Saccharomyces cerevisiae S288C: one gene and its partners. The gene in region 4 interacts genetically with the main gene of each other region. Each region holds a gene or a part of one and is shown on either strand. Other genes may lie near its edges. The genes, in order: BGL2, ECM25, LSC1 and CEM1.

Region 1 (7,898 bases), on a different chromosome or scaffold from region 4:
TCGGTTCACCATTCAATAAAGAAAAGTATGATGAAGTAGTTCGTGTTTGCTCTTTGAAAGCTGATCTGGATATTTTACCGGCAGGCGATATGACCGAAATTGGGGAACGTGGTATTACTTTATCTGGTGGTCAAAAGGCACGTATCAATTTAGCCAGGTCTGTTTATAAGAAGAAGGATATTTATCTATTCGACGATGTCCTAAGTGCTGTCGATTCTCGTGTTGGTAAACACATCATGGATGAATGTCTAACCGGAATGCTTGCTAATAAAACCAGAATTTTAGCAACGCATCAATTGTCACTGATTGAGAGAGCTTCTAGAGTCATCGTTTTAGGTACTGATGGCCAAGTCGATATTGGTACTGTTGATGAGCTAAAAGCTCGTAATCAAACTTTGATAAATCTTTTACAATTCTCTTCTCAAAATTCGGAGAAAGAGGATGAAGAACAGGAAGCGGTTGTTGCCGGTGAATTGGGACAACTAAAATATGAATCAGAGGTAAAGGAATTGACTGAACTGAAGAAAAAGGCTACAGAAATGTCACAAACTGCAAATAGTGGTAAAATTGTAGCGGATGGTCATACTAGTAGTAAAGAAGAAAGAGCAGTCAATAGTATCAGTCTGAAAATATACCGTGAATACATTAAAGCTGCAGTAGGTAAGTGGGGTTTTATCGCACTACCGTTGTATGCAATTTTAGTCGTTGGAACCACATTCTGCTCACTTTTTTCTTCCGTTTGGTTATCTTACTGGACTGAGAATAAATTCAAAAACAGACCACCCAGTTTTTATATGGGTCTTTACTCCTTCTTTGTGTTTGCTGCTTTCATATTCATGAATGGCCAGTTCACCATACTTTGCGCAATGGGTATTATGGCATCGAAATGGTTAAATTTGAGGGCTGTGAAAAGAATTTTACACACTCCAATGTCATACATAGATACCACACCTTTGGGACGTATTCTGAACAGATTCACAAAAGATACAGATAGCTTAGATAATGAGTTAACCGAAAGTTTACGGTTGATGACATCTCAATTTGCTAATATTGTAGGTGTTTGCGTCATGTGTATTGTTTACTTGCCGTGGTTTGCTATCGCAATTCCGTTTCTTTTGGTCATCTTTGTTCTGATTGCTGATCATTATCAGAGTTCTGGTAGAGAAATTAAAAGACTTGAAGCTGTGCAACGGTCTTTTGTTTACAATAATTTAAATGAAGTTTTGGGTGGGATGGATACAATCAAAGCATACCGAAGTCAGGAACGATTTTTGGCGAAATCAGATTTTTTGATCAACAAGATGAATGAGGCGGGATACCTTGTAGTTGTCCTGCAAAGATGGGTAGGTATTTTCCTTGATATGGTTGCTATCGCATTTGCACTAATTATTACGTTATTGTGTGTTACGAGAGCCTTTCCTATTTCCGCGGCTTCAGTTGGTGTTTTGTTGACTTATGTATTACAATTGCCTGGTCTATTAAATACCATTTTAAGGGCAATGACTCAAACAGAGAATGACATGAATAGTGCCGAAAGATTGGTAACATATGCAACTGAACTACCACTAGAGGCATCCTATAGAAAGCCCGAAATGACACCTCCAGAGTCATGGCCCTCAATGGGCGAAATAATTTTTGAAAATGTTGATTTTGCCTATAGACCTGGTTTACCTATAGTTTTAAAAAATCTTAACTTGAATATCAAGAGTGGGGAAAAAATTGGTATCTGTGGTCGTACAGGTGCTGGTAAGTCCACTATTATGAGTGCCCTTTACAGGTTGAATGAATTGACCGCAGGTAAAATTTTAATTGACAATGTTGATATAAGTCAGCTGGGACTTTTCGATTTAAGAAGAAAATTAGCCATCATTCCACAAGATCCAGTATTATTTAGGGGTACGATTCGCAAGAACTTAGATCCATTTAATGAGCGTACAGATGACGAATTATGGGATGCATTGGTGAGAGGTGGTGCTATCGCCAAGGATGACTTGCCGGAAGTGAAATTGCAAAAACCTGATGAAAATGGTACTCATGGTAAAATGCATAAGTTCCATTTAGATCAAGCAGTGGAAGAAGAGGGCTCCAATTTCTCCTTAGGTGAGAGACAACTATTAGCATTAACAAGGGCATTGGTCCGCCAATCAAAAATATTGATTTTGGATGAGGCTACATCCTCAGTGGACTACGAAACGGATGGCAAAATCCAAACACGTATTGTTGAGGAATTTGGAGATTGTACAATTTTGTGTATTGCTCACAGACTGAAGACCATTGTAAATTATGATCGTATTCTTGTTTTAGAGAAGGGTGAAGTCGCAGAATTCGATACACCATGGACGTTGTTTAGTCAAGAAGATAGTATTTTCAGAAGCATGTGTTCTAGATCTGGTATTGTGGAAAATGATTTCGAGAACAGAAGTTAATTTATATTATTTGTTGCATGATTTTTCTCTTTTATTTATTTATATGTTGCCGATGGTACAAATTAGTACTAGAAAAGAAAACCCACTACTATGACTTGCAGAAAAAGTTATGTGTGCCATAGATAGATATAATTGCATACCCACATTGTATACTCAAAATTCCGAAAAGAACATTTCATTTTTTATGAGGCAAACTGGACAACGCCTTCGGTCCTTTTTCATTCTAGAAATATATATTTATACATCATTTTCAGAAGATATTCAAAGAACTTATTGGGATGTCTGTTTACTGAATAAAGTATACACAAAATACGAATTTAAAATGGAAGGCATAAAATAGAAAACTTAGAAGTGAAAATCCTAAAACCGAAGGATATTTCAAATACGTAAAAGAAGTGAAAGATAAAATAAAGCCTAAATAAGGAAGAAAAGAAGGGATAACATTTTTTTTTGTTACTTTTTGCTTATTCCTCACCTAAACAGAAGGAAAAAGCCATTCTTGTTTAAAGAGTATTTTTAAAGCGTTCATGAAAAGTCACAGTCCAAGGAGTATTTCAAATTGTCACTTGAAGTGAAAACACCCCAGTGCTTCTCGACATCAGAGGTACCAGAGGTGTTTGGCTTCCAATCTTCATCAAAGGCTTCAAAAACAATAACGTTAACACCCCAAGCTCTCATGGAACAGATACCTTCTTTCCAGAATTGTTTGGCGTTGTCAACAGATGGGTAAGAACTTTCAAAGTTGGTACCATCAGTTGGCCAACCGGTCTCACCAACCCAGAAGGTAATATCGGTAGAACCTTTAGTAGATTGGATAACCTGTAGAGCTTGCATAATATCATCAAAGAATGAGTAAGAGGCATTTTGCATGGTTTGACCTTGCCAGTAGGAGAACGCGTTAGCCATAACAAAATCGGAAGCTTCGATAACGGCAGAATTGTAACCAGCAACCAAAACATTCCAGGAATCGACAGTACCGACTTGCTTACCAGAGTATGACTTTCCGTCAGAATCGGAAATGTCAGCAACGACACTACGGACGTCATTAATTTTGTCTGATAATTGAGAGGCAGTCAAATCGTTACGGTATAAGGCTTCAGAACCAACCAAGAAACCAGCAACAGTGGATTCTTTAATTTTTGGCAAATAGGTTTGCAAAGCAGCCTTTTCAGCAGCGTAATGACTGTCGTCTGTTGGCCAAACACCGACAAAGATAGTAAATCCCTCAGCTTCAGCAGCAGGACCTAAGTTTTGCAAAGTGTTACAATCTGAGGCAGCGTAAACTTTGACGGTGGAAGTGTAGCTCTTCAAAGCTTGTAATTCGGTTTCATAGTCGGAAGTGGACTTACAAGTACCATCGTTGTTCTTGACACCCAAGTTAAAGGCTAGTTCACCAATAGCTGAAACTTGGGAGGCTGTGAAAAATAGCGCAGTAGCTGCAGTAGCGAGTGTAGTAGAGAAACGCATCTTTGACCGTTTTTCTTTTTGGTTAGTTGTCTATCTCAATAAACTTATATTGAAAAAAACAAGAAGAAGTCCAAATTGTGAATGAGGAAAAGTTTCTTTATAAGGAGGCAGTTAAAATCAAAATAAACAAATATCCTCTTGTTTTCTTCGTGACATTTTTCTCTTTTTCAGGGCGAAAAACTGAAAGAAAAATTTTAACGTTTCTTTTACTAAAAATAGAACTGCATATCCGTAGAAAACGATGATTATATAACATAAATAGTAATATCAGTTATTAATTGCTATTTATTTCAACTTGCCCAACGCTGAAACATGGTAAGAGCTATGGGTAGGCTATCTTGAATGGGTATATTTCCCTGGGGTACGGAAGCAGGGAATTGCAGTTGACCAGAAAAGTAATGATGCAAAGAAGAGGATTCTAAGTCAGATCTCCTGAAACAACGTTTTAAATGGCCCCATTTCCCGAAGATAAGCAGGATATTACAGGGTTTTTCTGATGTTGAACTTTTTTTCAGTTTTGCGATGTATGGTAGCTTTGTTTCTACCTTGTGGTACTTTGACAACTCTTCGTCGTAGTGGAAGTCACCACTGTTGACCCAAACGATCTTTGTGTAACCTTCGGACACCTCATTCAAAGTGCTTGCCATTCGAACATGATAGCCGAGTGGTTTTCCTTTGTAAGCATCTATGGGTGACACTACTTCTTTGCGCTCTGTATCAACTGTTACACGCGCAGTATTGGGAATATTTTGGTTAGATAACGTAATAATTTGATTCTTTCCTATATACACCAAATTTGTTAGAGCATCATCAGATTTACCTTTTGAGCTATCTCGTGCGATTGATAAGCCTTCCTTGTAGTGTTGTTCGGCAGATGCGTTCATAAAAGGTAGCTGGTTCAATGGCGGAAAGGTAGATGCACACTTTAAATATAACTTGTTTTTTTTTTTGAATGTAGTATCCAGTAAGTTTGGAGGCGTTACAAAATATTGTAATAGTGTGGCAAGTAATAAACAATCAGAGATAGTCTCCTTTGATCTTGATTTTTTTTCATGCTTTTTATCTTTTGACTGGTCTAGAACTATGATTTCTTGAACATTGAACAATACAGCTGTCCGAGCTATTTGATATGCAGTAAATGTAACTTGCTCCAAATTATTACAATTGTCGATAACAGTTGTCGGTATGCATATGGAATATTTGACCACATTAGATTCTATATCCATGATTTTTTTTAGCTTCAATAGGCCTGTCTTTGCCTTTTTGGCAGCCCCCTCTTCGTGCTTAAGGCTCTCGGATTTATGTTTTACTGCCATCTTCCCCTATTATGCTACACTTCCCTTGGTAGATGTGTTTCACCTCATTGGTATCAATTACCTCCTCTACTTAATATCCCAATTTCAACATGGTGTTTTCAAGCGATGAGGTGGAAAAAATTTCAAATAATATGTTTGGGTGTGCCCATTATTGCGGTTTACAATAGTTGCTAAAGAGCTATTTATTAGGAATTTTTAAACTTTAGAGATTGCTTAAAGCGACTTTAAAGCGTTTCTTTGGAAAGATAGGAGAGCGGATGCTATCTCAAGAGCATCTCTTCAATGATTTAAGCAGTGACAGTGTAAAACAATTACGGACCAACGAAAATGGTCAAATCAAAACTAATTACAATAAATAAGTTCTATCATAATACAAGGGAATTCTGTGCGATATAACCACATTGATTGAAGGTAGAATATACAAGCCAACGTGAGACCAATCAAATTTCGTTAAGTGCGCCTATACAAAAAGAAATCTTTTATGTAGATATGACAGTAAGAAAAGTATATATGTGAGCTAGCAGGGTATTGAAAGCGATCACAAGAAGGCAAAACGAAATAGATTGTTAGAAGATGAGTGAACAGAAGGGACATAAAGAAAAGATTTCCTTTACAATCTAGTAAATCTTCTTCTTTTCATCAACGGATAATTCACCAGCGCCAGTATTAGTAACTAATAGAAGCCCACCAATGATGCTTAAGTTCTGGTAAAACTCATACTTCAAGAAATCTCTCTTAGTATTGTTATAAAACCAGTAGTTGTTTAGCGTGATATTGTAAAAAGTTAGTATCAAACCCAACATAATGGATGCGAATTTTGTCTTGTAACCAATGGCGAAACATATTGTGCCGATAATGGTCAAAACAACAGTAAACCATGATTTACTGAAAGTGAAAGCGATAAACATTAAAACAATTAAAATTCTACCAGCAAACAACAGGTAACCCTTCGCTTTGTCGTTTTTGCTGTTTAATTCAGGAAGCATACCGAATGTTGTCTTGTTTTGAACAATTGAATCGCTGAATGCAATTAACAACCCACCAATAACACTAAAGTTTCTTAGGACAAATGATGAACCCGTAAACAACCCATAAACTAATGCTTGAGAAATAACGCAAGCACATAACACACCGGTGGCATAATTGGTTTGCTTTCTTAAAACTAACAAACTGGCGCCAATCAACATGGAAACGGTAACAACCACTAGAAACACAACGACAAAGAAGTATGGGTAATGCTTCCACTTATTCAGATAAAAAATTTGATCTGACCATTGTGATAAGATCCTAAACGAATCTTCATAAAAGGTGGCCACAATGAAAAATCTTGACAAACTTGGAATGTAAGGCTTCAATTTATAAACAACTGCATTGTCAGTGAGCCCCTCAATTCTGGAGGCAAACTTTTCAAAAGAATGCTTCCATTGCTTTAAGATGCCAGAAGTGGATTGGTTCTGGTTTGATCTGAATTGTGCACCGCCAGAGTATGGTCCTTGCGATGATGACATTGGCATACCGCCAAAATTTCCAATAGGTCCTCTGTAAGACATTGATCTATCCTTTCAGTTTTGTTTTCACTTTTTTTGAGTCGTACTAATTGCAGCTATTGTAAGTAAATAAGGACACCTTTGATCTTTCGTTAAAGGTGTCCTTTATTTTTCGCCTTTCTCATTATTCCCTCTTCTCTCATCTTCTAGAAATACCTAAAAAGGGAACCGTTACCCGAACCTATTCATTATAGAAATAAAAGAGAACGTTCTCTATAATATTCGTATACATTCGTATATATTCTATTCCATTTCTTACGGTATTCACACGAAGTAGGACAACAAGCTGGATGGTAGTTTGCCAGAATCGACAATAGTCTTTGCAGATTCCTTCAAAACTTCCTTGGCACCAGCAGCATTGGCCTTGATCTTATCGGCGGTGGACACTAACTCTTCGTCATTCAAACTGTCAACGATCAAACCAACTTGTTCGTCAATCGTGGTGGCCTTGTCAGCATCACCAAAGTAGTCAGCTTCCTTAGCAGAGTTACGGATGGCTCTCTTGTTCTTTTTCTTGGCGGCCTTAGCAGCTTCCTTAGCCTTCTTTTTGTCAGCTTTTGCGGAGGCGTTAGCCTTGGCTTCAGATTCAGCTTTAGCCTTCGCTTCAGCTTCGGCCTTGGCCTTAGCTTCAGCTTCAGCTCTGGCACCGGCTTCTCTTTCCCATTTTCTTCTTTCCTTTTCCTTCTTCTCTTCTTCTTTGAACATTTTGATACGGGGATCTTCACTGACAGCTCTTTCAACAAGTTTGACCAATCTAGCGTTATCAGCAGTCTTCTTCTTGTCTCTTGCGGCCTTGTTCTTTCTTTCAATGTAACGCTTGTGGTCTCTGTTAGAAGAGTCATCTGGGACATCTTCGTCCAAGAACTCAAAGGTTCTCCAGGAGTCAAATCTGTGCCAGAAAGCATAGAATTGTTCAACTTCCTTCTTGGAAGAATCTTTGTTACCTAGAGAAGGAATAGGAGTCTTCTTAGAAAAACGAGCTTCAGCTTCGAAAACGGGGCCCCAAGCTTCATAAAAGTCATAATCGGTACCCTTCTTTGGAGGAGGAACATCGGCAACAAAATCACATGAGTCGTACTGAGCTCTCTTGTTGGAATCAGTCAAAGTTTCAAAGGCCTTTTGAATAATCTTGAAAAAGCCAT
Region 2 (9,043 bases), on a different chromosome or scaffold from region 4:
AGGCAATCTCTCTGGGTGGTAATGGAACACTTGTTTGCATGTGCCAAGGCGTATCTTTTGGTAGACTTTGACGTATTACCTGATTAACATTTAATTGTCCTTGAAGTAGACACGTTTTAATAGTGTCCAAAAAATTCTGGCTGTTAAAAGAAGAAGAAGCAAGTATTTGACGGAGTGTTTCAGGTGGAAAGATCGTCTCTACAACCTTTTTGTAATCAATGGAACTTATAGGGCCCTTGCTATCTTCCCGTTCGTGGGAAGCTCTCTGTGCATATAAGGAACTATCATCGCTTACTTCCCTATCAAATACCGATGAGTTCCGTGGGGGGCGATCATATTTGCATTCGTAACTATTAGTCTGGCAAAGTCTACATGGTATATTACCACTACATCGTACTTTCCTCTTTCTGCAAGCTATGCAAGCTCGATGTGCTCTTCCTTTCGTTGGCTTCAATTCGTTGGTGCCCGCATCTCTAGATAAAACCAAAATCTTAGATCTCTTGCCTTTCAACTTCTTCATTGCACACGAAATAGGCTTTCCAGATTCTTTCGGCGTCATCTATTGAATAATTCTTTGGTCTAAGTTGTATGTATTACTCTTTAAATTGAGACAATCAAGGAAATCACACATATAAAAATACTGTGGATCTGAAAGATTGGGTTTTTATAGGATAAATGCGTATAAAGGTAGATCCTAGGATTAATTATTATGGTATTTACATATCGCCAGAAACTTATATATACTCCCCTCACGCCGGATTATTATTTGCGATCGTCCCATCGCTTCTTTATGAGCTCGTGTAAATGATGACCTTGTGGACGCCCCATTTTCCTTTCGTACACATAGTAGCTGAGACAGCCTACCATAATTGCCAATAACGGATCAGAAAATCTGCAATAGAGACCAGCTTGGGAAAGAGCACATCGACTTGTTTGATGTTGCCTCTTCGAAACAGCAAATGGTTAACTATGCGTTAGTAAAAGAATAAGTGTGAAAAAAAAAAAAATAGAATAGCGTATGAAGAATGAACATACTTTCCTAATAGAAAGGGAGCGTACTGAACCATGTTATCGATGATCTTGTGTGGAATCCTCTTATAAATGGAGTGAACATTTGTATGCCCCTTGTGTGCGTGTGGCTAACAGGGAAAAATAGAGCCCGCGTAATCTTGAATAATCTAATATGTGAACAGTCTTTTATTTCCGCACTTCATACCTATATAGAGTAATATAATTAATCATTGATAGGAATTTACATAATGCAGCAATCTCGTATGCCTAGGCCGTACATTACCTTTTCAACGTCTTTCCGTACACGAACCCAATCGCTTCTCCTCTGAACAAATTCATAAATTTCCTCTTGCGTAAAAATGCCATTGAATTTCCCAAGATCAGAAATAAGCTTTCCCAACTCTTTCGAGTCCTTGCCTGAAATGATGTATAACTGGCCAATAGACTTAAGCCCAACAAAATAGGGAACAACATTTTTTTGTTTTAATTTGTTAGCAATAAAATCGTAAAAGTAATTTAAATCGCAGATTAACCAAATTGCGCCCTCCGTAGATATGAAGCACTTCTTCAGATGTTTGACGATTTCATTAAAGAATCTCTCGCCAATTTCTTGTTGGTACACGTCAATAGTACCCTTGTCTGTGGCACCAGTCAGTAGAAAGCAATGATTAGAAAGTAACTCGACTACCCTGATAGCACATTTGGTTGGCTTTATATCCCTTATTGGAGAATTCCTAGAGGGTGGCGGTGGATTATAATCGTCAGGCAATTGAAGAGTCTTGAATACAAATGAGATTTCATCCATTAGTTTGTTTATACCGATATTTAAACCTTCGGCTACAAAATCATCGATAGAAGTCTCAAAATTTTTTTTTAATTGGATAACATCATTAAGAAAATCTTTATTTTTATCGATAATTTTTTTGGGAATCAATTCGTTCTTGTAAAAAATGGAAATCATTTGTAATATTATGTCACCTATATTGATAAGTTCAGTGAATTGTACTAAAGGTTCGACTTGAGTATTGGCTGGCGAAAGTGAATTGAATTTTATTTCTATTTGTTCTATTTCGTTAGGATTATATTTTTGTAGTAGCAGGATTGCCTTTTCAAATGCAGGTTTAACGTGATTTTTATTCAATTGTGTAATTAAAATTTTGAAAATCTCTTGACAGCGTAGCTTGATCAATGGTAGCAAACTTTCAATCGTATGAAATTTGTAAATTTGATCCGTCTTTTCGCTTGTTTCCTGTAAAATTTTGTAACATAAATCGAGACTTATTAACGATTTAATGTTTTGCAAGTTATTGGAAATTAAATTTAAGTTGTAGGCTAGTTGTAGTTGTTGCTTTAGCCTTTGATTTTCATTGTTCGAGAACTTGAAAATCTTGGTGAAGGAACTTAGAAAGTCTAGTTTATCATTAGAAATATCAGTTGAATGAACTGATTGATGGATCGTACTTGGTTTTGAATCCGCTTCTGGGACAGTTTTGGAGGTTTCAGTAATTATTGAGAGGTCATTCGGCAATTCATTGTTACTTGCACTCGAAGCATCCGTTTGATCTTTTAAAGTGTTATAAATTTTTGCGTTTTGCTCACGCTGCTTGTCTTGAACTTGTGTGTCATAATTAGCTAATTGTGAGTTGATCAATGATTCAAATACTCTAGTTGTCTGATTCATATAGTTGACAACAAAGGGCTCGAGATACAGGTTTAAAAGGTCACGAACAACTTTACGGAAATTTGCGCCTGCGTTTACTGAGTCGTTTAATTCAGTATCAAACTTTTTTATAAATGTGAAATAAAGTTCGGGTACGCATTCATAATTGGCTTTACTATCCTTTCCATTTTCTTTTAAAAATTCACTATAGCTTAATAAGATATTGTTTAAAATATCTAATAAAATATCTTGGATAAAGGACTCGATGAACTGTAATATTACAGGGAACTCATCTTTGAATAAAATGTCCGCTAATTTAATCTTTTCGTTGAGGAAATCCCTTAGCTGATTGAGAAACGTATCTAAATTTTTAGAATTAAATATCACGGTACTCCCACCGCTGTCCTCTTCCCTTGGTTGTTCGGCCCAAAATAATTCATCATTAGACGGCAAAACCGTTAAACTGGGAGGCAAATCAGCCTTTGACTTGAAAAATTCGATAGCATTGCTTTCCTCATTAGATATCAATAAAATTTTCATGAAACGAGCGACGGCAGCTAAATTATTAGACTGGTAATTCAATTCTGACTCTTTGAGAACAGAATTAATGAAGATTTCCCTAAGAATGTTGAAATTAGTTTCAATCCTAGTAAATGTTTCTATATCATTTTTATTCGAGAAATTGTACTTTTTGATAAAATTTAGAATTCTTGTTTGTTTCAACGGATCGTTGGAATATGAAGTAGGAAAGAAATTTGCTAGATTATTATTATATAGCTTCCTAGCGTATGAGTTATAACAACGGTAAAATTTCACAAAGATTTTTTTAGAATTTTGAGCAGTGAAAGATTTGTATATTTCGAAGATGCGAAGGGAATTTTGATTATCATTTTCATCCAGCAACGTAATTTCTTCTTCTTCATTTGAATGCACCTGTTGGAGACCCATTCTAGTCAATTTCAATGACCAATACTTTGAATCATTTTTGCCGTTAATGATTGCATAAACCCGTTTATTCACTTGTTGAAAACTCAGATAATCTACAGTAGATAAATATGAGGCAATATTGGTTACAATCTCGGGAACTTTTAGCAGATCATCCATTTTACCGATTTCCTCAAAAGCTTTTGTTTTCTTTTGGTTTTTCTATTGTTTGTCTGTTGACCATTTTTTGATAAAATAAGAACCTTCCTTCAACGAAATATTTCGGCAAAAGTTAGCCTTGAAACACTTAAATACAGGAAGAAATAAGGTAAAGCGTAAAACTAACAGCAATAATTTGCAGTTGTATAAATGGAACCAGAAGATACCCAGCTGAAAGAGGACATTAAAACCACAGTAAATTACATAAAGCAGCATGGTGTTGAGTTTGAGAACAAACTGCTAGAAGATGAGAGATTCTCATTCATCAAGAAAGATGACCCACTCCATGAATACTACACCAAACTCATGAATGAGCCAACAGACACTGTCAGCGGTGAAGATAATGACAGAAAGAGTGAGCGAGAGATAGCAAGGCCGCCGGATTTTCTGTTCTCTCAATATGATACTGGAATATCCCGAAGAGACATGGAAGTAATCAAATTGACAGCACGCTACTATGCAAAGGATAAAAGTATTGTTGAACAGATGATTTCAAAGGATGGTGAAGCCAGATTAAACTTTATGAACAGCTCACATCCGCTACATAAGACATTCACTGATTTTGTCGCCCAGTACAAGCGAGTATATTCTTTTACTGGTCAAGAAATCAAGAAAAGTAAGAGAACCATTTTAGATAATTGTTTTGAGAGAACACAGTATTGGGAATTTGAGAAAGATAAAGACCGGGAACATGATAAGCTCGTAGAGTTGTGCAAAATACAATTTGCAGCCATTCCATGGGATAAATTTACTCAAGTGGCAAAATTTTCTATCCCTGAAGACACAGAAATCTTCGAAGGCTCTCTAGATTTAGAACAGATGAGGCTGCGAAGAGTACAAACTGGTATTAAGTTATTCGATAGTATCAAGCCGACAAATGAAGAAGAAAAGATAGTATCCGACCAAGGTAAGCAAAAAGGAGGAGATAGTAAGGGCAAAAAGCGTAAAATTAGAGCTGTGGGAGAGACAAGGTTAAAGAAAAGTAAAAAATAAGCCTCATGAAAATCAAAGTTAGCTAGAAGTATGTAAAGGTTGATGATGCACCGTAATTGAGCACATGTATCACTATTAACGGCGTACGTATTTTGGCGTTTTTTCATGTTGATGTTATTTTGTATATAGAAAGTGAAATTCTCGAGGATATGGCCCTACTGGATAATACTATTGGTAGCGTGAAAGAAGGCCAGGATGATAGATATCAACGTTAATAACATATTTTTTAGATCTTATTCAGTTGATCCTAACTCTGGTCACGCAATTTATGTCTTTGATTCGACTTATTTGCCAGCATCTGATGAAATTGGCGATAAGCAAGTTTATGACTTGCTTATTAATGCCCTCATGGATCGATTGGTAATGAAATTGCCACAGGCACCATATTCACTGGTGATTTTTTCATCTGGGTTTTCCCAGAGAAAAATAAGCTGGGTTTACGGTATTAAAATGTTTGCAAAGTTACCCAAAGAGACCAAGTTCTATTTACAAAAGATTTTTATTGTTCATGAGTCATTCTTCGTTAGGTCGGTCTATCAAGTAATTTCAAACGCTATGAACTTTAACTTCTTGGACTCAAAAGATAGTCAGCATGATTTTCCAAGTTTAGTTCATGTCTTGGACCTGACTTCTTTATCCGAGCTAATAGATATTACGCGACTTAGAATATCGTTGAACGTGTACTTATATGATTACCAGATACGCGAACATATAAATGTCCCGGAGGAATATTATAACAGATTGACCCCTCTGGCAATAAGACAGTATAGGCAGTTAGTATTCGATAAAATTTTCAAGAAATTACAGAATGACGCTCTGTTGTGTGAATTGATATTCCAGAAGCCGGGAAACTATAAAAAGGTAAACATTTTTTTGGATATTATCAAAAGAAACAACTACATTGATTTATCTCAATGGGATATTTATTCTTTGGCATCCGTGTGGTTGAATTACTTCATTAAGAATAAAGCCAAACCTCTAATCCCAATTGAATTAATTCCGTTACCAATTGTTGATGATCTAAAGTTCACAAGTGAAACATTCCGCAAAATTATTAAATTCAACCAATACCAGGACCTCTTTATGGTCATAATTCCTTTTTTTAATAGGATCATAGCGCATGGTGAATCGACTAAACATGATTCAAGGACCCTAAGTAAAGCTTTAACTCCGGCGTTATGTAAGGAAAAACTTTCCATGATGACTAATGATCGTTTAGCTATTGGGTCGAGATATATTAAAAATTTACTGGACTTTTTCCCCGAAATCGCGAAGGAAATATCATCACCTCCTTCATCCGTATCATCGTCTTCTACTATCCCTGTTTTGCCTAAGCCAAGGAAGTCGTCGCCAACCAGATACAGTGAACTAGGCTGCTTAACCCTTCCTAGAAGTCGAAGCCCTAGTCCACAAAGATCTGTTACGTCTCCAACGTACACACCTGTCGCATTACAAAATACACCAGTCTTGAAACCTAAGTCTTCAAGCAGAAATGTTTCATCCCCATCATTCAATGCCAAACCTCCACTTCCTATTAAGGCAGTTACACGACCACAACTGTCTCTAACTTCCAATTCTAATACAGATTTGGCATTAGCTTCTTCTTCTACAGATACATTATCCTCACCGACGAAGACTCCATCAGCAGACTCGCTTCCATTGAGTAACAGCAGCACCGATTTAACGATATCAGATAATATCAAAGAAATGGTTAAGGACGAGCCAGCAAAGGATAAAAATTCTGTGGAAACAGATATATTCGTACAACAGTTTGAAAGTTTAACCCTCGTCCAAAACGCGAAGATTAAGAAGTTCGACAAAGAACTACAAGAAAAGAAGAAGAAAAATGAAACTACTTCAAAGACAGCAGATAAATTCTCTCAAAAGGGATATTCAGATATTAAAGCAAGCAACAAGGTTAGCAGGCTAGCTGCATTGTACGAAGAACGTTTACAAGGTTTACAAGTAATGAATGAAATGAAACAAAGGTGGTAACTTACATAATTGTATCTTTTTAACACATACATATTGCATATACGACAACAAAATACCCCCCACCCTTGAGTTAAGCCGTAGTTGAAGCAGTCGAGATCTCGTGTATAATATTATATATCAAACAATATTACGTTTTTTATAGTAAATAAATAAATAAATAGGTAGGTTATTTGCACCGTCTATATGCAGAGTCTATAGAATTGTGTAAACTAGCTTATGACTATTAAATCGGACTCTTAATTTTTAGCTAATATCTCTTCAGAATTTATTCGTTTCTTCGTATATTACCAATATAATTGATTGCTGAACCAGCTTTGAAAAAATCGATTTGATCTTTAGACATAGTATGTTTTGCCTTGATGGTGAACGATTCACCGTTTGGTTTAGTAATTTTAACATCAATTTCACCACCGTTATTACCATCCTTAGCAATCATGTCAACTAGGTTCAACGTTTCTAAAACATCTCCGCTTGATATTTTATCATAGTCAGATTCGTTGGCAAAAGTCAATGGCAACACACCTTGTTTCTTCAAGTTTGTCTCATGAATTCTTGCAAAAGACTTAACTAAAAGAATCTCTCCGCCTAAAAATCTTGGTGACAAAGCAGCATGCTCTCTTGCGGAACCTTCACCATAGTTATGTTCCGCTATCACGGTCCATGGTCTACCGTCTGATTTCCATTTCATCATCAAACCAGGAATATCATATTCAGTTCCGTCAAGGTCATAAGCCTTGTTGACTTCACCGGTTTCTTTGTTTTGTGCACCAATCAATGTATTGTAAGAAATGTTTTCTAGATGGCCTTTATATTTCAACCAGACGCCCGCAGCGGAAATATGATCTGTTGTACATTTACCTTCAACTTTCAAAAGCACGTTTGTCTTCAATTCCTTCCCGTTCCAAGGTTTGAATGGCTCTAATAATTGCAAACGATCAGAATTAGGGTCTACCTTAATCTCTACATTGCTATCTGGCTTTGGATCCATTTCAGGATAAAATTTGTCTCTACCGTGTTCAAATCCTCTTTTTGGTAACTCATCACCCTTTGGTGGTTGGAATTTGAAATCCTTCCCATTTGGCAATTTAATTGAGTCAGTTAGCGGATTGAACTGAGCATCTCCAGAATAACTCATCGCTGTTACTATTTCTGGGGATGTTAAGAAATTCATTGTATTCCTATTACCATCGTTTCTAGCTCTGAAATTTCTATTGAATGATGTAAAAATAGTGTTCGTTTCTTTTGATGTTTTCGAGACATCTTCCCTATTCCATTGTCCGATACAAGGGCCGCATGCATTTGCTAAAACTTTGGCACCATTTTCTTGGAAAATATCGATGATTCCATCTCTTTCCAAGGTAGCTCTAATTTGTTCTGAACCAGGGGTGACAAAGAAGGGGATACGTGGTTTCAAGCCGGCTTTGGAAGCTTGCTTGACCAAGTCGACAACACGACTCATGTCTTGATAAGATGAATTGGTACATGATCCAATCAAACCAGCGCTAACTTTTTGGGGCCAGTTTTCCTTCAAACTTTTTTCGGCATATTGAGATATTGGGGTTGAAAGGTCTGGTGTAAATGGACCATTAACGTGAGGTTCAATTGCGGATAAGTCAATTTCAATAACTTTATCGTATTGAGCATCTTTGTCGGCTCTTAAGAAGTTAAACTTGTTTAAAGCAACATCAGCTGCTTCAGCGACCTCTGCTCTATTAGTTGCTTGCAAATAACGCTTGTGAGCTTCTTGGTAAGGGAAAGTTGACGTTGTAGCACCGATTTCAGCTCCCATATTACAGATGGTTGCCATACCTGTGCAAGATAGAGTGGATACACCTTCGCCGAAGTACTCGACGATATAACCAGTACCACCTCTGACAGTTAGTAAACCAGCGAGCTTTGTGATTACATCTTTAGGAGTGGACCATCCGTTTAACTTTCCGGTCAATTTAACACCTAAAATTTTTGGTGCTTTTAATTCCCATGGAGTGCCTGTGAGGGCATCAACTGCATCCGCACCACCAACCCCGATGGCAATAGCTCCCAGACCGCCTGCATTTGGTGTATGGGAATCAGTACCTAGCATCATTAGACCTGGAGCTGAGAAATTTTCCAAAACAATCTGGTGAATGATACCAGAACCTGGGCCCCAGAATTGAATTCCATATCTCTTTGCGCAACTCTCCAAGAAATCGAAAACTTCTTGGTTGGTAGCTATGGAAGAGGGTAAATCTTTAGTTTCAC
Region 3 (8,112 bases), on a different chromosome or scaffold from region 4:
ACCAACACGACCTTGTACTGATTAAATTTGGTAGGCTTAACGTTTAAAGTCTCTGAGTTAAGTGCATGCTCCAAAAGCTTGGTAACGTCTGAGATTAATTCTGCCAACGATTTATAATATGGTGACTTGACATTAAAAGAGCCACCTCTGAAAGGCTTTCTAATAACAAATTTTTCGTCCACGCACCTCAATGCATCTGAACCATAGTATAATTTTGAGTCATCAAATATCCATTCTATAGGAGATGGATCATTTTTCTCTGAAATAATCTCAGGTTTGGAATTTTCATTGAAAGATACTACCTGTTCGTGAGCATTACCTGGTACCTTTCTTTTATAATACCTCATACGTTCTCTAAAATTCTTTTCCATCTCCGACTTTATGTTGTTAAACTCTTCTGACTGTTCTCTTTGAAGGCAAACGTTTTCAACATGTTCACTATTTTCAAGATCCAGCCATTTTTTAGGTACCGCTACACAATTTGGAACTACGACAGGATGGTCATCTTTGGGAAATCCTATCTTTATAGAATTTGATCCAGGATGTATCACGATAGTTGCTGTTGGATCATTTAGATCTATCTCGTCATTAAGTGGTGCTGCACTCGCTTCTGAGTGGGGCAAACTCTTTAAATCTATAACATCTGGTGTGTTGGTACTAGATATTTGGCTAGTGTTGTTATTTCTCAAAAATTTTCTATCTCTAAGTGCAAATATTTGATCGTCTTTTTTCAGATAATCTGATGAGTAGTTTTTTTGGTTGATTAACATTAAAGGTTGGAACAGGCCAGTGGCAGGTAAAGTAGTTGTCTCCACTTTCTCAATGCCAATTTTTTTCAACGTCTTGGCAAATTCTTCAGCAGCTTTAATACGTCCTAGTCTCCTCTTCTCCAAAAGATGTAGCGGGACTTTCTTCCCGGGAGGTGCTTTTGCGGGATCTAGCTTCGGATATTTCTTATAACGTTTACTAGTCTGCACAGCAGGTGGTGCCCTCTTATCTCTAGAGCTCCCTAATTCATTTTCATTTTCGTTGGCATTATCATTATCATTTTCGTCCTCATTGTCAACATCATTGTCGTCTTCGTCTTCATCTTCGTCTTCCCCTTCTTCATCTTCATCTTCTTCGTCTGCAACGTCTCTTGGGTCAACAGAAAGACCTGTTACACTTCTGGGTGTCTCAGATCCAACTACGTTATCGACACTATCGTCTGACTCATTCTCCGCATTTTCTTGATCCGCCTGGCTGCTTAAAGGTACGCTATTTTCTTCTTCCAGTTCATCCTCATCGTCATCATCCTCTAACGGAATATCAATGGGTTCCTCATAAATAATACTGGATTCTGCTTCTTCTTGCGACATGTTAGGTGCGATTGTATCCCTGTATTTATGTACTATTGACTAGTAATTTACCTGAAAGTGTTTGCTACTTCGTGGGCGTTCATCATCTCCATTTATTCATATTGCCATTCTCAAATAAGTCATCTTGCACGGCCCAACCAGCGGCTGGATAACGGATCTACCCCAACCTCGGACCCAAAGTTGCTGCTATAAAAACAGAAACAAAAAAGGCGTTTCTCGAGACTGATATCCAGATGGTAATAGAGCCCTTAAGTGCTTTGCAATTGTCAATTAAGTATCCTTGTTCGAGAGTTGTTCACAGCACACTGCGTATATATAGGCTTACCACAGTTGGATTTAATCAAGCGATATAAAAGCTGGAAGGAGACAAGTTTCCCCTAATTGTTGTTCTGTTTGTTACTTACCACTCTATATACGTTCGATTTCATAGAAAATTTCTTTTGCAGACCATTTATTCTTCAGTTTGATAATGTTAAGATCTACCGTTTCAAAAGCTTCTCTCAAAATTTGTCGTCACTTTCACAGAGAATCTATTCCTTACGATAAGACGATCAAAAATTTGCTGCTTCCCAAGGACACCAAGGTGATCTTTCAGGGGTTCACAGGTAAACAAGGTACTTTTCATGCCAGCATCTCTCAAGAATATGGTACAAATGTTGTGGGTGGTACGAACCCAAAAAAGGCGGGTCAAACACATTTAGGCCAACCTGTCTTTGCCTCTGTGAAGGACGCGATTAAGGAGACTGGAGCCACTGCCAGTGCCATCTTTGTTCCTCCACCGATCGCAGCTGCTGCCATTAAAGAATCTATTGAAGCTGAAATTCCGTTAGCTGTATGTATCACTGAAGGTATTCCTCAACATGACATGTTATACATTGCAGAAATGTTGCAGACACAAGATAAAACAAGATTAGTTGGGCCCAACTGCCCTGGTATCATTAACCCAGCAACAAAGGTAAGAATTGGTATCCAGCCCCCAAAAATTTTTCAAGCTGGTAAAATCGGTATTATTTCCAGATCGGGAACTTTGACATACGAAGCTGTTCAGCAAACTACAAAAACTGACCTTGGTCAATCACTGGTTATTGGTATGGGTGGTGATGCTTTTCCCGGTACTGATTTTATTGACGCCTTGAAATTATTTCTAGAAGATGAAACTACAGAAGGTATTATTATGTTAGGTGAAATAGGTGGTAAGGCCGAAATCGAAGCTGCTCAATTTCTCAAAGAATACAACTTTAGCAGGAGTAAGCCGATGCCGGTGGCATCTTTCATCGCAGGAACTGTTGCTGGTCAAATGAAAGGTGTTAGAATGGGTCACTCCGGTGCAATTGTAGAAGGATCTGGAACTGATGCAGAATCCAAAAAACAAGCTTTGAGAGATGTTGGTGTTGCCGTCGTTGAATCTCCAGGTTACTTAGGTCAAGCTTTACTGGATCAATTTGCCAAATTTAAATGATTATATTAGGAAGAGAATGAACTGCTTTCAAAAGAGGAAGACTTCTATGTCTCGATTATTGCTTAGACAAGTATGGAGCTGACATCCGTTTTCTTTTCAGAGCTTTTACTCAACATTCTATGTTAATTTTTCCCTTTGTATATATTCATTTATCCTTATAAATTCTACTAAAAATCTTTTAATAGTGTTTGTATTTAATGTTCTTCTTAACAAGGGTATACATAAAGGTTGATTAAAGCTTAATAATTGAAATGGAAAAAAAAATAACAAAACGTCTGAATTTCCTAGTCTGTTTTGCAAAAACAGATGCGCAAGCCGGGAATCGAACCCGGGCCTCATGCTTGGGAAGCATAAATTCTAACCACTGAACCACTTGCGCGTTTCAATCAATTTGGGAAGACTCAGCACGTTATATACTATTAATGAAAAATTTCCTTCTTAGTAATGACACTGATAAATAGGTAAGTGTTGGAATTAAAATCAACTATCGTCTAACAACTAGTAGTCACACTACCAATATATTATCATACACGGTGTTAGACGATGACATAAGATATGAGAAACTGTCATCGAAGTTAGACGAAGCTGAAATGCAAGGATTGATAACGTAATAGGATAATAAAACATATAGAACAGAAGGAGAAATAATCATAGTATTATTATGTAGAAATATAGATTCCTTTTTGAGGACTCCTATATCCTCGAGGAGAACTACACATAATATTATATATAACCTTTGCCAAAAAAAGGAATGCCAAAAATTATCAAACTATTTGTTGGAATAAAAATCCACTATCGTCTATCAACTAATAGTTATATTATCAATATATTATCATATACGGTGTTAAGATGATGACATAAGTTATGAGAAGCTGTCATCGAAGTTAGAGGAAGCTGAAGTGCAAGGATTGATAATGTAATAGGATAATGAAACATATAAAACGGAATGAGGAATAATCGTAATATTAGTATGTAGAAATATAGATTCCATTTTGAGGATTCCTATATCCTCGAGGAGAACTTCTAGTATATTCTGTATACCTAATATTATAGCCTTTATCAACAATGGAATCCCAACAATTATCTAATTACCCACATATATCTCATGGTAGCGCCTGTGCTTCGGTTACTTCTAAGGAAGTCCACACAAATCAAGATCCGTTAGACGTTTCAGCTTCCAAAATTCAAGAATATGATAAGGCTTCCACTAAGGCTAACTCTCAACAGACAACAACACCTGCTTCATCAGCTGTTCCAGAGAACCCCCATCATGCCTCTCCTCAACCTGCTTCAGTACCACCTCCACAGAATGGGCCGTACCCACAGCAGTGCATGATGACCCAAAACCAAGCCAATCCATCTGGTTGGTCATTTTACGGACACCCATCTATGATTCCGTATACACCTTATCAAATGTCGCCTATGTACTTTCCACCTGGGCCACAATCACAGTTTCCGCAGTATCCATCATCAGTTGGAACGCCTCTGAGCACTCCATCACCTGAGTCAGGTAATACATTTACTGATTCATCCTCAGCGGACTCTGATATGACATCCACTAAAAAATATGTCAGACCACCACCAATGTTAACCTCACCTAATGACTTTCCAAATTGGGTTAAAACATACATCAAATTTTTACAAAACTCGAATCTCGGTGGTATTATTCCGACAGTAAACGGAAAACCCGTACGTCCGATCACTGATGATGAACTCACCTTCTTGTATAACACTTTTCAAATATTTGCTCCCTCTCAATTCCTACCTACCTGGGTCAAAGACATCCTATCCGTTGATTATACGGATATCATGAAAATTCTTTCCAAAAGTATTGAAAAAATGCAATCTGATACCCAAGAGGCAAACGACATTGTGACCCTGGCAAATTTGCAATATAATGGCAGTACACCTGCAGATGCATTTGAAACAAAAGTCACAAACATTATCGACAGACTGAACAATAATGGCATTCATATCAATAACAAGGTCGCATGTCAATTAATTATGAGAGGTCTATCTGGCGAATATAAATTTTTACGCTACACACGTCATCGACATCTAAATATGACAGTCGCTGAACTGTTCTTAGATATCCATGCTATTTATGAAGAACAACAGGGATCGAGAAACAGCAAACCTAATTACAGGAGAAATCCGAGTGATGAGAAGAATGATTCTCGCAGCTATACGAATACAACCAAACCCAAAGTTATAGCTCGGAATCCTCAAAAAACAAATAATTCGAAATCGAAAACAGCCAGGGCTCACAATGTATCCACATCTAATAACTCTCCCAGCACGGACAACGATTCCATCAGTAAATCAACTACTGAACCGATTCAATTGAACAATAAGCACGACCTTCATCTTAGGCCAGAAACTTACTGAATCTACAGTAAATCATACTAATCATTCTGATGATGAACTCCCTGGACACCTCCTTCTCGATTCAGGAGCATCACGAACCCTTATAAGATCTGCTCATCACATACACTCAGCATCATCTAATCCTGACATAAACGTAGTTGATGCTCAAAAAAGAAATATACCAATTAACGCTATTGGTGACCTACAATTTCACTTCCAGGACAACACCAAAACATCAATAAAGGTATTGCACACTCCTAACATAGCCTATGACTTACTCAGTTTGAATGAATTGGCTGCAGTAGATATCACAGCATGCTTTACCAAAAACGTCTTAGAACGGTCTGACGGCACTGTACTTGCACCTATCGTAAAATATGGAGACTTTTACTGGGTATCTAAAAAGTACTTGCTTCCATCAAATATCTCCGTACCCACCATCAATAATGTCCATACAAGTGAAAGTACACGCAAATATCCTTATCCTTTCATTCATCGAATGCTTGCGCATGCCAATGCACAGACAATTCGATACTCACTTAAAAATAACACCATCACGTATTTTAACGAATCAGATGTCGACTGGTCTAGTGCTATTGACTATCAATGTCCTGATTGTTTAATCGGCAAAAGCACCAAACACAGACATATCAAAGGTTCACGACTAAAATACCAAAATTCATACGAACCCTTTCAATACCTACATACTGACATATTTGGTCCAGTTCACAACCTACCAAAAAGTGCACCATCCTATTTCATCTCATTTACTGATGAGACAACAAAATTCCGTTGGGTTTATCCATTACACGACCGTCGCGAGGACTCTATCCTCGATGTTTTTACTACGATACTAGCTTTTATTAAAAACCAGTTTCAGGCCAGTGTCTTAGTTATACAAATGGACCGTGGTTCTGAGTATACTAACAGAACTCTCCATAAATTCCTTGAAAAAAATGGTATAACTCCATGCTATACAACCACAGCGGATTCCCGAGCACATGGAGTCGCTGAACGGCTGAACCGTACCTTATTAGATGACTGCCGTACTCAACTGCAATGTAGTGGTTTACCGAACCATTTATGGTTCTCTGCAATCGAATTTTCTACTATTGTGAGAAATTCACTAGCTTCACCTAAAAGCAAAAAATCTGCAAGACAACATGCTGGCTTGGCAGGACTTGATATCAGTACTTTGTTACCTTTCGGTCAACCTGTTATCGTCAATGATCACAACCCTAACTCCAAAATACATCCTCGTGGCATCCCAGGCTACGCTCTACATCCGTCTCGAAACTCTTATGGATATATCATCTATCTTCCATCCTTAAAGAAGACAGTAGATACAACTAACTATGTTATTCTTCAGGGCAAGGAATCCAGATTAGATCAATTCAATTACGACGCACTCACTTTCGATGAAGACTTAAACCGTTTAACTGCTTCATATCATTCGTTCATTGCGTCAAATGAGATCCAAGAATCCAATGATCTTAACATAGAATCTGACCATGACTTCCAATCCGACATTGAACTACATCCTGAGCAACCGAGAAATGTCCTTTCAAAAGCTGTGAGTCCAACCGATTCCACACCTCCGTCAACTCATACTGAAGATTCGAAACGTGTTTCTAAAACCAATATTCGCGCACCCAGAGAAGTTGACCCCAACATATCTGAATCTAATATTCTTCCATCAAAGAAGAGATCTAGCACCCCCCAAATTTCCAATATCGAGAGTACCGGTTCGGGTGGTATGCATAAATTAAATGTTCCTTTACTTGCTCCCATGTCCCAATCTAACACACATGAGTCGTCGCACGCCAGTAAATCTAAAGATTTCAGACACTCAGACTCGTACAGTGAAAATGAGACTAATCATACAAACGTACCAATATCCAGTACGGGTGGTACCAACAACAAAACTGTTCCGCAGATAAGTGACCAAGAGACTGAGAAAAGGATTATACACCGTTCACCTTCAATCGATGCTTCTCCACCGGAAAATAATTCATCGCACAATATTGTTCCTATCAAAACGCCAACTACTGTTTCTGAACAGAATACCGAGGAATCTATCATCGCTGATCTCCCACTCCCTGATCTACCTCCAGAATCTCCTACCGAATTCCCTGACCCATTTAAAGAACTCCCACCGATAAATTCTCGTCAAACTAATTCCAGTTTGGGTGGTATTGGTGACTCTAATGCCTATACTACTATCAACAGTAAGAAAAGATCATTAGAAGATAATGAAACTGAAATTAAGGTATCACGAGACACATGGAATACTAAGAATATGCGTAGTTTAGAACCTCCGAGATCGAAGAAACGAATTCACCTGATTGCAGCTGTAAAAGCAGTAAAATCAATCAAACCAATACGAACAACCTTACGATACGATGAGGCAATCACCTATAATAAAGATATTAAAGAAAAAGAAAAATATATCGAGGCATACCACAAAGAAGTCAATCAACTGTTGAAGATGAAAACTTGGGACACTGACAAATATTATGACAGAAAAGAAATAGACCCTAAAAGAGTAATAAATTCAATGTTTATCTTCAACAGGAAACGTGACGGTACTCATAAAGCTAGATTTGTTGCAAGAGGTGATATTCAGCATCCTGACACTTACGACTCAGGCATGCAATCCAATACCGTACATCACTATGCATTAATGACATCCCTGTCACTTGCATTAGACAATAACTACTATATTACACAATTAGACATATCTTCGGCATATTTGTATGCAGACATCAAAGAAGAATTATACATAAGACCTCCACCACATTTAGGAATGAATGATAAGTTGATACGTTTGAAGAAATCACTTTATGGATTGAAACAAAGTGGAGCGAACTGGTACGAAACTATCAAATCATACCTGATAAAACAGTGTGGTATGGAAGAAGTTCGTGG
Region 4 (8,187 bases):
AAAGAAATGGAAGAAGTTTTCTAGCAGAAGACTAGAACTCATTGACTCATTTGGCTTGAGCCAGCACAAAGCAAGTGAACAAGATGATAATATAAGACAAATAGCCACCATATTAAGGAGTGAATTTGAGTACCCTGATACGTTTTCGGCAGAATTTGAAAAGTTGGTTACCGCTGCTGTTCAATCGGTGAGAAGAAACAGGAAACGTTCCAAGAAAAAATTATTAGACTCTAAGAAGAAAATAGCCCGTGGTAAAGTTCAAAAAATTCCTTTGTCTCCCCCCAGCTCAAGTAATATGGGGTCTTGTTCAGCTTCCAATGCATCAAGCTCTGACGAAGAAGCCAGCGTGAAGGAAGAACCTGCTGAGCACGCTCTTCCTTCTCTTAATACTATAACATCACAAAAATTGTTACCTTATCCGAATGGCCGCACTCTTCCACCTGTACCAACTCAAGTTCGCTCTTTACTTAAGAAGAACGCATCTCTTCTTCGTGATCCATCGGCACCGTATGCGCACGGCGGCGATGAAAAATTACAAAAGTTTGATATAGAAGATCAGCCTCTAGAAAGTGAACAAGAATACGACTTTATTGCCAAATCAATAATTGTTGAAATTGTAAATAATGCTATTCCACTACCTGAACAAATTCAAAGAGATAAGTTCATTAGACCAAATTTAACGAAAAAAAAAGGGTGCCAAAGCAAAGTTGTAATATCCAACAACTTGAGAAAACTCATCCTGTCAAAGATACATAACTCAAGGACGTGCTTGGAGATGTCTAAGGATGAAAGAAATTTGGATTCTTTTGCTAATCTAGAAACGCTGGGCAAAAATTCACTAATGGCTTCCATTTCCCTTGTGGTAGAAAACAGCTTTTCACATTTACCGTCTTCTACTAAGCAATATCTTACTGAACGGCTGTCATCAATCGAATTTTTGACTATTCTATCGCAAAGGCTATTTATGCCCGCTACACGTCAACTATTCGCTGACCTATCACAAGAAAAAATTCAGGTGAGAGTGCTGAATCTCATACTGGGATCTCTTGTCAAAGATTATGGGTTTGATGCATCTTTGGCACCAATCAACGAAATTATCTATCACATGACACTCCATCAATATCCCTTGGTTTGTAGTAATAAACAGTCCAATCCAATGAGGCCACACTCCACATCTGAGGTCTTGAGTGCACATTCTTCAACGAAAGATGCAAGCACTCCCGGTAAAGAAGAGCCTCGAGTGACGAGGTCAAGCACATCGGCAGATAGCACTATCATTACATTGCCTTCAATTGAAGTCCCAAATACGTACGATGATGACAGGTTAAAGATGTTGAGCGCGATATCGTTGCAGATTGAAAATTCCACCTTTTCCAAACCATTCAGTACTATTTCAAAATAAATAGGCCCGCTTGCATCATCCCCACCTGCATTACTATGAACTATTTATCATAGCTTATTTTTCCTCTATCATCATTGTAACTTGTACAAGAATGTTCAGTCTGTAAATCTCGCCGCTCATTCTCTACTAGCACTTTACAACGTTGACAGCCACTGTATGTGTAATACAGTGAACCGCCGACTCTTCGGATTTAATAACACAGATTTATTTAGAATAATCTACACATGTTTACGTATGCAACAAATTTTGCACCTTCATATACAAACAACTGCGGTCGTTTAAAAAGTGGGAAAGAACCGAAACTAGAATGAAAAACTCCACCAAAACGGCTTGAGCCTTTATCTTCTGTAACCAGAGCGGTTGCCTCTCCTGTTTTTACTTACTCTGGAGCGGTTGTTTGCATTTTTGTTTCTATTTTTAAATTTACCGTTATTGCCACTTTCAGGTTCATTTTTCCTACTGACAAGGCCCAGTTCTTCAGCCAACTTGCTATTCAAGTCAACACCAAACTTCTCCACACGATTTATCTGTCTTTGTAAAGAGTCAATATCCGCTTGATCTTGACCGAATTTGTTAGCGCGGTGCAGTTTCTTATTTAAAAGATCCAATGCTTTGGCCTTAATTTCTTCTGGTGACAAAGCGGGAGCAGCAGTGGAAGCAGCAGCTTGTTCGTTCTCTGAAGCAGTAGCAGAAGGTCCATCAGAGGGCTTTTGAACGTCCTTATTTTCCTCCTTGGGTTCGTTTGTTTCTTTAGGCTCGCTTGAAACTTCCTTTTTTTCAGTAATGTTCTGGGAGGCTGGTTCTTCTATCGCCGCAGGTTCTGACCCTTGTTCCTGGTTTTGTTCCTGTGGAGAAACTTCACTTTCACCCTTTGATTCTTCATCGTCCTTTATCAGTCTTTGAACTAGTTCATTCTTCAATCCGCCTACAGACAGATTTCTCTTGGTCAGTAAATCTTTCAATTGAACAACAGTAAGGGAAGAATAATCTGCCATTGTAAGTGCTTGTGCTGGCTCCAAGAACAATTCTAGTGGTGAAAAAAATTCTATTCAATATACAGATATCTTTGTAACTTCTGAAAGTAGCGCATCCTGAAAGGACACATTTGAAGAGTCACTATTCAACTTTCTTCTCCCATTCAGCATTATCACGCCCTTCCACCAACGCTGGTTGCATTGTGTTTTCTTACTTCGGCTAGAGACGCCGGGTAATAAAATATATATCCTCGAATGAACCGCTGGCCTCGGCCATTTTCATATGACTTCATATCATTAATATGGCCGTAGGTTAAGCAATGCTACGTGAAAGATACCAATTCCAATCGTCTGCTTTCTCTCAAGAGGAGACTTTGCGTTCTTTAAAGGAGCAGAGAAAGAGGGAAACGGTGAAAAACTTCAATATTGATAACATCCATCAGCGTCTAAATTCCTATGCCTCCTTCGAAAATGGTCAATGTTATACCCTCTCCCATTAGATATTACCGTAGCGTACGTATTTGGCCCTGTCCTTTGGGGTTTGGCCTTCTCAAGTATTTTGGCACCTCGCCCTGAACGAAAAGCTGGCACTTTGTCCCCAGCCAAACTCTTCTCTCTAATATCGTCTTTAACGACAAGGTAAAAAGATTTCTGCAGTGTTCCGTCTGCGTCATCATCTGTGCCCCACAATCCGCGGCGTTTCCGTGTAAGCCGTCAAGTGAGGACTTTTCGGATGCTGAAAGAAAGTACGCTCGGAAAAACTACATAGCTGCCCCCCTAAACGGGCCTCCCACGTGACGTAAAGTAGGAATAATAAGAAGCCAAGTCGTTTCTTTTTATTCTAAATAAGTTCGTTTCTTTTGATGTTGTCATTTTCAGAAATATATATATATGCGCTTAAATACACAAGCTAAAACAACATAGTTAGGATTGCCAAAGGTTTCTTTTCTACTCAATTTGGTCTAACTCTTTTCATATTAATAGCGCCAACCAGCTAGTGTTTACCAGATCAGTGGAAAAACATAAAACAATAAAAACAATATTCGGAATGGGATTGACTACTAAACCTCTATCTTTGAAAGTTAACGCCGCTTTGTTCGACGTCGACGGTACCATTATCATCTCTCAACCAGCCATTGCTGCATTCTGGAGGGATTTCGGTAAGGACAAACCTTATTTCGATGCTGAACACGTTATCCAAGTCTCGCATGGTTGGAGAACGTTTGATGCCATTGCTAAGTTCGCTCCAGACTTTGCCAATGAAGAGTATGTTAACAAATTAGAAGCTGAAATTCCGGTCAAGTACGGTGAAAAATCCATTGAAGTCCCAGGTGCAGTTAAGCTGTGCAACGCTTTGAACGCTCTACCAAAAGAGAAATGGGCTGTGGCAACTTCCGGTACCCGTGATATGGCACAAAAATGGTTCGAGCATCTGGGAATCAGGAGACCAAAGTACTTCATTACCGCTAATGATGTCAAACAGGGTAAGCCTCATCCAGAACCATATCTGAAGGGCAGGAATGGCTTAGGATATCCGATCAATGAGCAAGACCCTTCCAAATCTAAGGTAGTAGTATTTGAAGACGCTCCAGCAGGTATTGCCGCCGGAAAAGCCGCCGGTTGTAAGATCATTGGTATTGCCACTACTTTCGACTTGGACTTCCTAAAGGAAAAAGGCTGTGACATCATTGTCAAAAACCACGAATCCATCAGAGTTGGCGGCTACAATGCCGAAACAGACGAAGTTGAATTCATTTTTGACGACTACTTATATGCTAAGGACGATCTGTTGAAATGGTAATCCTCTAAAATCGAACATATTTGAGTAATAATTCTCAGATACAGTCCTATTCTATATTCGCCACAAAACAAGTAATGATGCTAAAAAACGACACATTTATAAAATCACATCTTATTGATTAAATAAATACGTAGATAGATTTTTTTTTTTAAAACATATAGTGTGCTATTATTTCTGACTCTGTCTCATCTCAGAAAAATAAATGATAAAAAAGGAAGTAAAATCCTTAAACGTTATCAGGTTATTAGCAACTTGAAAGTGACAGGAGCCACAACGGATTAAAATTTAATTTCTAGTAAAGAAATGTCAAGAAGAGTGGTTATCACAGGATTGGGCTGTGTAACGCCGTTGGGAAGATCATTAAGTGAGTCATGGGGGAATCTGCTCTCTTCCAAAAATGGACTCACACCAATCACATCTTTGCCCAACTATAATGAGGACTACAAACTCAGAGAAAAAAGTATCCCATCAACGATAACAGTGGGGAAGATTCCAGAGAATTTTCAAAACGAAAATTCAGCCATCAATAAACTGCTGTTCACTAGCCAGGATGAGAGAAGAACCTCAAGCTTTATCAAGCTAGCACTACGTACAACTTATGAAGCGCTTCACAATGCTGGTCTCTTGAACCCAAATGATATAACCATCAATACATCTCTGTGCAATCTGGATCACTTTGGTTGCCTGATAGGTTCTGGTATAGGATCCATTCAAGACATATACCAAACTTCTCTACAATTCCATAACGACAATAAAAGAATAAATCCATATTTCGTCCCTAAAATCCTTACAAATATGGCAGCTGGTAATGTTTCCATCAAGTTTAACCTTAGAGGATTATCCCATAGTGTTTCCACAGCATGCGCAACAGGTAATAACTCCATTGGCGATGCATTCAATTTTATTCGGTTAGGCATGCAAGACATCTGTGTCGCCGGTGCAAGTGAAACGAGTTTGCATCCGTTAAGTTTAGCAGGTTTCATCAGAGCAAAGTCGATTACTACAAACGGGATCTCTAGACCCTTTGATACACAACGTTCTGGATTCGTACTTGGTGAAGGATGCGGAATGATTGTCATGGAATCGCTAGAACATGCTCAAAAGAGAAATGCAAACATAATTTCTGAGCTCGTGGGCTATGGTTTAAGCAGTGATGCCTGCCATATTACCTCCCCTCCTGCTGATGGAAATGGTGCCAAAAGAGCAATAGAGATGGCTCTAAAAATGGCTAGATTAGAACCAACTGATGTTGACTACGTCAATGCACATGCTACATCAACTTTACTAGGCGATAAAGCAGAGTGTCTGGCAGTAGCCTCAGCACTCTTACCAGGAAGATCCAAAAGCAAGCCACTGTACATATCCAGTAACAAAGGTGCAATTGGCCATCTTTTAGGTGCAGCTGGCGCCGTAGAAAGTATATTTACAATTTGTTCCTTGAAGGATGATAAGATGCCGCATACCTTAAACCTGGACAATGTTCTGACTCTAGAAAATAACGAGGCCGATAAGCTACATTTCATAAGAGACAAACCTATTGTGGGAGCTAATCCGAAGTACGCATTATGCAACAGCTTCGGATTTGGAGGAGTTAACACATCTCTTCTCTTCAAGAAATGGGAAGGGAGTTAATATTATTAAACTTATATATATATCCCATTATAATCGTTTTTGAATTATATGCTATCTATTCGAATGTCGAGATTTATCCATTAAAACCAATCATTTCAATGATTAGCAAAAATATTAATCAATTAACATTTAGTCATCGACCGAAATATTTGAGTTCTAAAGGTCTTACAATGTTATAGATGATGAACGCCCAACTTCCGCCTAACTCGAACCCAATGTCACCGCCGTACTCTCCGATCAAACGACTGATCTCACCAACCCAATAAGTTTGGCACATACCCAACGCTACTCCAAAGGCACCAGCAATTAAGGCAGCAGTACCTGCGATACCGATAGGTAGATGCTCCCAATTATCCCAATCATCAATATTGTAAGCACTGAAGGAACGCCTATAAATAAAATGCTCTGAACATGCAATGGCAATATAAATAGCCAAATAATAACCAATGGAATCCATAAAATTCTCCATAAAGCCGTCAAAGTAATAGGTAGCAGGGATGGAAATACCTAAAGTGGCAGCATTACCTGCCATTGTCCAGACTACTCTTGGTATTTTAGCCAAAGGTGCCCACAAAGCTTGAGCGGATAAAGCGACAGTGTACATTCCAGGGACATTATTAGCAACAGTTGAAAGAGCCAACAAAACACAGCAGAATTGACCGAATCCGTTTAGAGAGTTAGGGACCAGGATAGCATATATGACACCACCCATGGCGTTTTTATCATAATATGACTTCCAGGTTGGGTCATTAAGGGCCGCCATACCGCAAGCAGCACCAAGAATCATGGTGAAAAATAGAGGGAACGCTAGACCGGCTACTACGGAAAAAAAAATTTTGTATTTACTTGTGGTCTTTGGCATATAAACAGTGTAATCTGCTGCATAAGTCGCCCAACCCGCAGCTGACCCAAAAACAGATGAACCAAAAGAAAGAACACCACCTGCAGTAGTTGCACCCCCTACCCATTCACCACCTTTAAATTTTCCTGATCTCGATAGTTGGGCAATAATGACCAAAAAGGCAGCAAAATTGGGTACCCACGACCATTTTTCGTATGCATGAACGACACTGTAACCAAAAAAAGTCACAAGCACGGTACCACCAGCAATAATCAAACAACCTGCCCAAATAGGACAGTTGTGCCCAGAGCCTTCATTCACCATATTCAAAAGTTGAGCAGAAACAGAAATATTTAAAACACACCAACCGACACAAGCAATGACATTAACAAGAGAGAAAAATCTTGCTGTGATGTTACCAGCCAAATATCTCGATAGAATCATCTGTCTTAGGCCCAGTTCTACCCCAAAAAGTGAGAATAATGCAACAGGGATCAAACCCAAAATATTGAAAAAAATGATAACTAAAACACTTTGGCCGAAATTTAGGCCAAATACTAGAGGACCCAAGGCACCTACGGAATAGGCTACAATCACCATATTAGCTGAAAACCATATAGTGGCGGCATTGAGTATCGAGTCATCATTTTTTTCATCTTCTGTAACTGGTTCAATACCTTTCGTCTCAGCATTTAAAGCAGCTGCAATCCTATTGAAAAAGGACGGCTTATTATCAATGAATTCGTTGGTTCTATGCAATTCTACACCCTCATAGTATACATCAGCGGCGGAAGATTTTGTGTCCAGAGCTCCAGATTCGAGGTCCCTTAGTTCACTCCCCGCATCTTTTATATCGACCATTGACATGGCTAACTTTTCTGGCATACTTTTCTTCGATATTTTAGTCACCTTCTGAAACACCCTCCATTTCAATCTGACAAGCGTATCTTATAACAAACAATTTGGTTATCATGTTATATATTTGTCTGGTTTACAAATCACCAGTGCAAAAACAGACTACATTTATGTCATCTGCATGCATTAGGCTTTCAACAGACTAGAAATCAAAATTTATCAACTAAACAGAAATAATGCAACGTCTCATAAAGTATTTACTGGCGATCGGAGTAACTCTTAGAACCACAGTCACGTGATATGCTTATCAGAATTGCGTTATCAACTCAAATGAATGAGCCGTGATAATTTAATTAACATACATGCTATTTTTTAATGATTTGCATACTAGAGCCATTTATGTTACATTACAAAGACTAAAATAGCGAAACATTTAAATGAACTTTCGTTAACGACCAAAGTACTTGAGCTCAAAGGGTCTAGCAATGTTGTAAACTATAAATGCCCAACTTAGTCCTAACTCGAATCCAATATCACCACCGTAGTCTCCGATCAAACGGCTGATCTCGCCAACCCAATAAGTTTGGCACATACCCAACGCTACGCCAAAGGCACCAACAATTAAGGCAGCAGTACCTGCAATGCCGATAGGTAGACGTTCCCAACTATCCCAATCATCAAC

Evidence for each region.
Region 1: mutations in CEM1 (region 4) and BGL2 together harm fitness more than expected from each alone (negative genetic interaction), as found in Saccharomyces cerevisiae (3 studies listed by BioGRID).
Region 2: mutations in CEM1 (region 4) and ECM25 together harm fitness more than expected from each alone (negative genetic interaction), as found in Saccharomyces cerevisiae (2 studies listed by BioGRID).
Region 3: mutations in CEM1 (region 4) and LSC1 together harm fitness more than expected from each alone (negative genetic interaction), as found in Saccharomyces cerevisiae (4 studies listed by BioGRID).

What each region holds. Positions count from the first base shown.
Region 1 is NC_001139.9:1,054,832-1,062,729, forward strand, and holds BGL2 (glucan 1,3-beta-glucosidase), read right to left. Parts: upstream 3,894-7,898; coding exon 2,952-3,893; downstream 1-2,951. Other genes in the region: ATP-binding cassette transporter YOR1, read left to right, coding at 1-2,426; UPA1 (putative methyltransferase), read right to left, coding at 4,184-5,209; protein ERV29, read right to left, coding at 5,827-6,759; ZUO1 (zuotin), read right to left, coding at 7,021-7,898. UniProt on the Saccharomyces cerevisiae protein: Glucanases possibly play a role in cell expansion during growth, in cell-cell fusion during mating, and in spore release during sporulation. This enzyme may be involved in beta-glucan degradation and also function biosynthetically as a transglycosylase.
Region 2 is NC_001142.9:49,377-58,419, forward strand, and holds ECM25 (Ecm25p), read left to right. Parts: upstream 1-5,002; coding exon 5,003-6,802; downstream 6,803-9,043. Other genes in the region: YJL206C (uncharacterized protein), read right to left, coding at 1-559; NCE101 (Nce101p), read right to left, coding at 763-892, 1,036-1,067; RCY1 (Rcy1p), read right to left, coding at 1,253-3,775; PRP21 (Prp21p), read left to right, coding at 3,965-4,807; aconitate hydratase ACO2, read right to left, coding at 7,068-9,043. UniProt on the Saccharomyces cerevisiae protein: May be involved in cell wall organization and biogenesis.
Region 3 is NC_001147.6:591,230-599,341, forward strand, and holds LSC1 (succinate--CoA ligase (GDP-forming) subunit alpha), read left to right. Parts: upstream 1-1,827; coding exon 1,828-2,817; downstream 2,818-8,112. Other genes in the region: ARP8 (Arp8p), read right to left, coding at 1-1,358; YOR142W-A (gag protein), read left to right, coding at 3,883-5,205. UniProt on the Saccharomyces cerevisiae protein: Succinyl-CoA synthetase functions in the citric acid cycle (TCA), coupling the hydrolysis of succinyl-CoA to the synthesis of ATP and thus represents the only step of substrate-level phosphorylation in the TCA.
Region 4 is NC_001137.3:275,920-284,106, reverse strand, and holds CEM1 (fatty acid synthase CEM1), read left to right. Parts: upstream 1-4,480; coding exon 4,481-5,809; downstream 5,810-8,187. Other genes in the region: VHR2 (Vhr2p), read left to right, coding at 1-1,402; THO1 (Tho1p), read right to left, coding at 1,741-2,397; glycerol-1-phosphatase GPP2, read left to right, coding at 3,425-4,177; FCY22 (purine-cytosine permease), read right to left, coding at 5,943-7,535; FCY21 (purine-cytosine permease), read right to left, coding at 7,954-8,187. UniProt on the Saccharomyces cerevisiae protein: Possibly involved in the synthesis of a specialized molecule, probably related to a fatty acid, which is essential for mitochondrial respiration. Is essential for oxygen uptake and the presence of cytochromes A and B.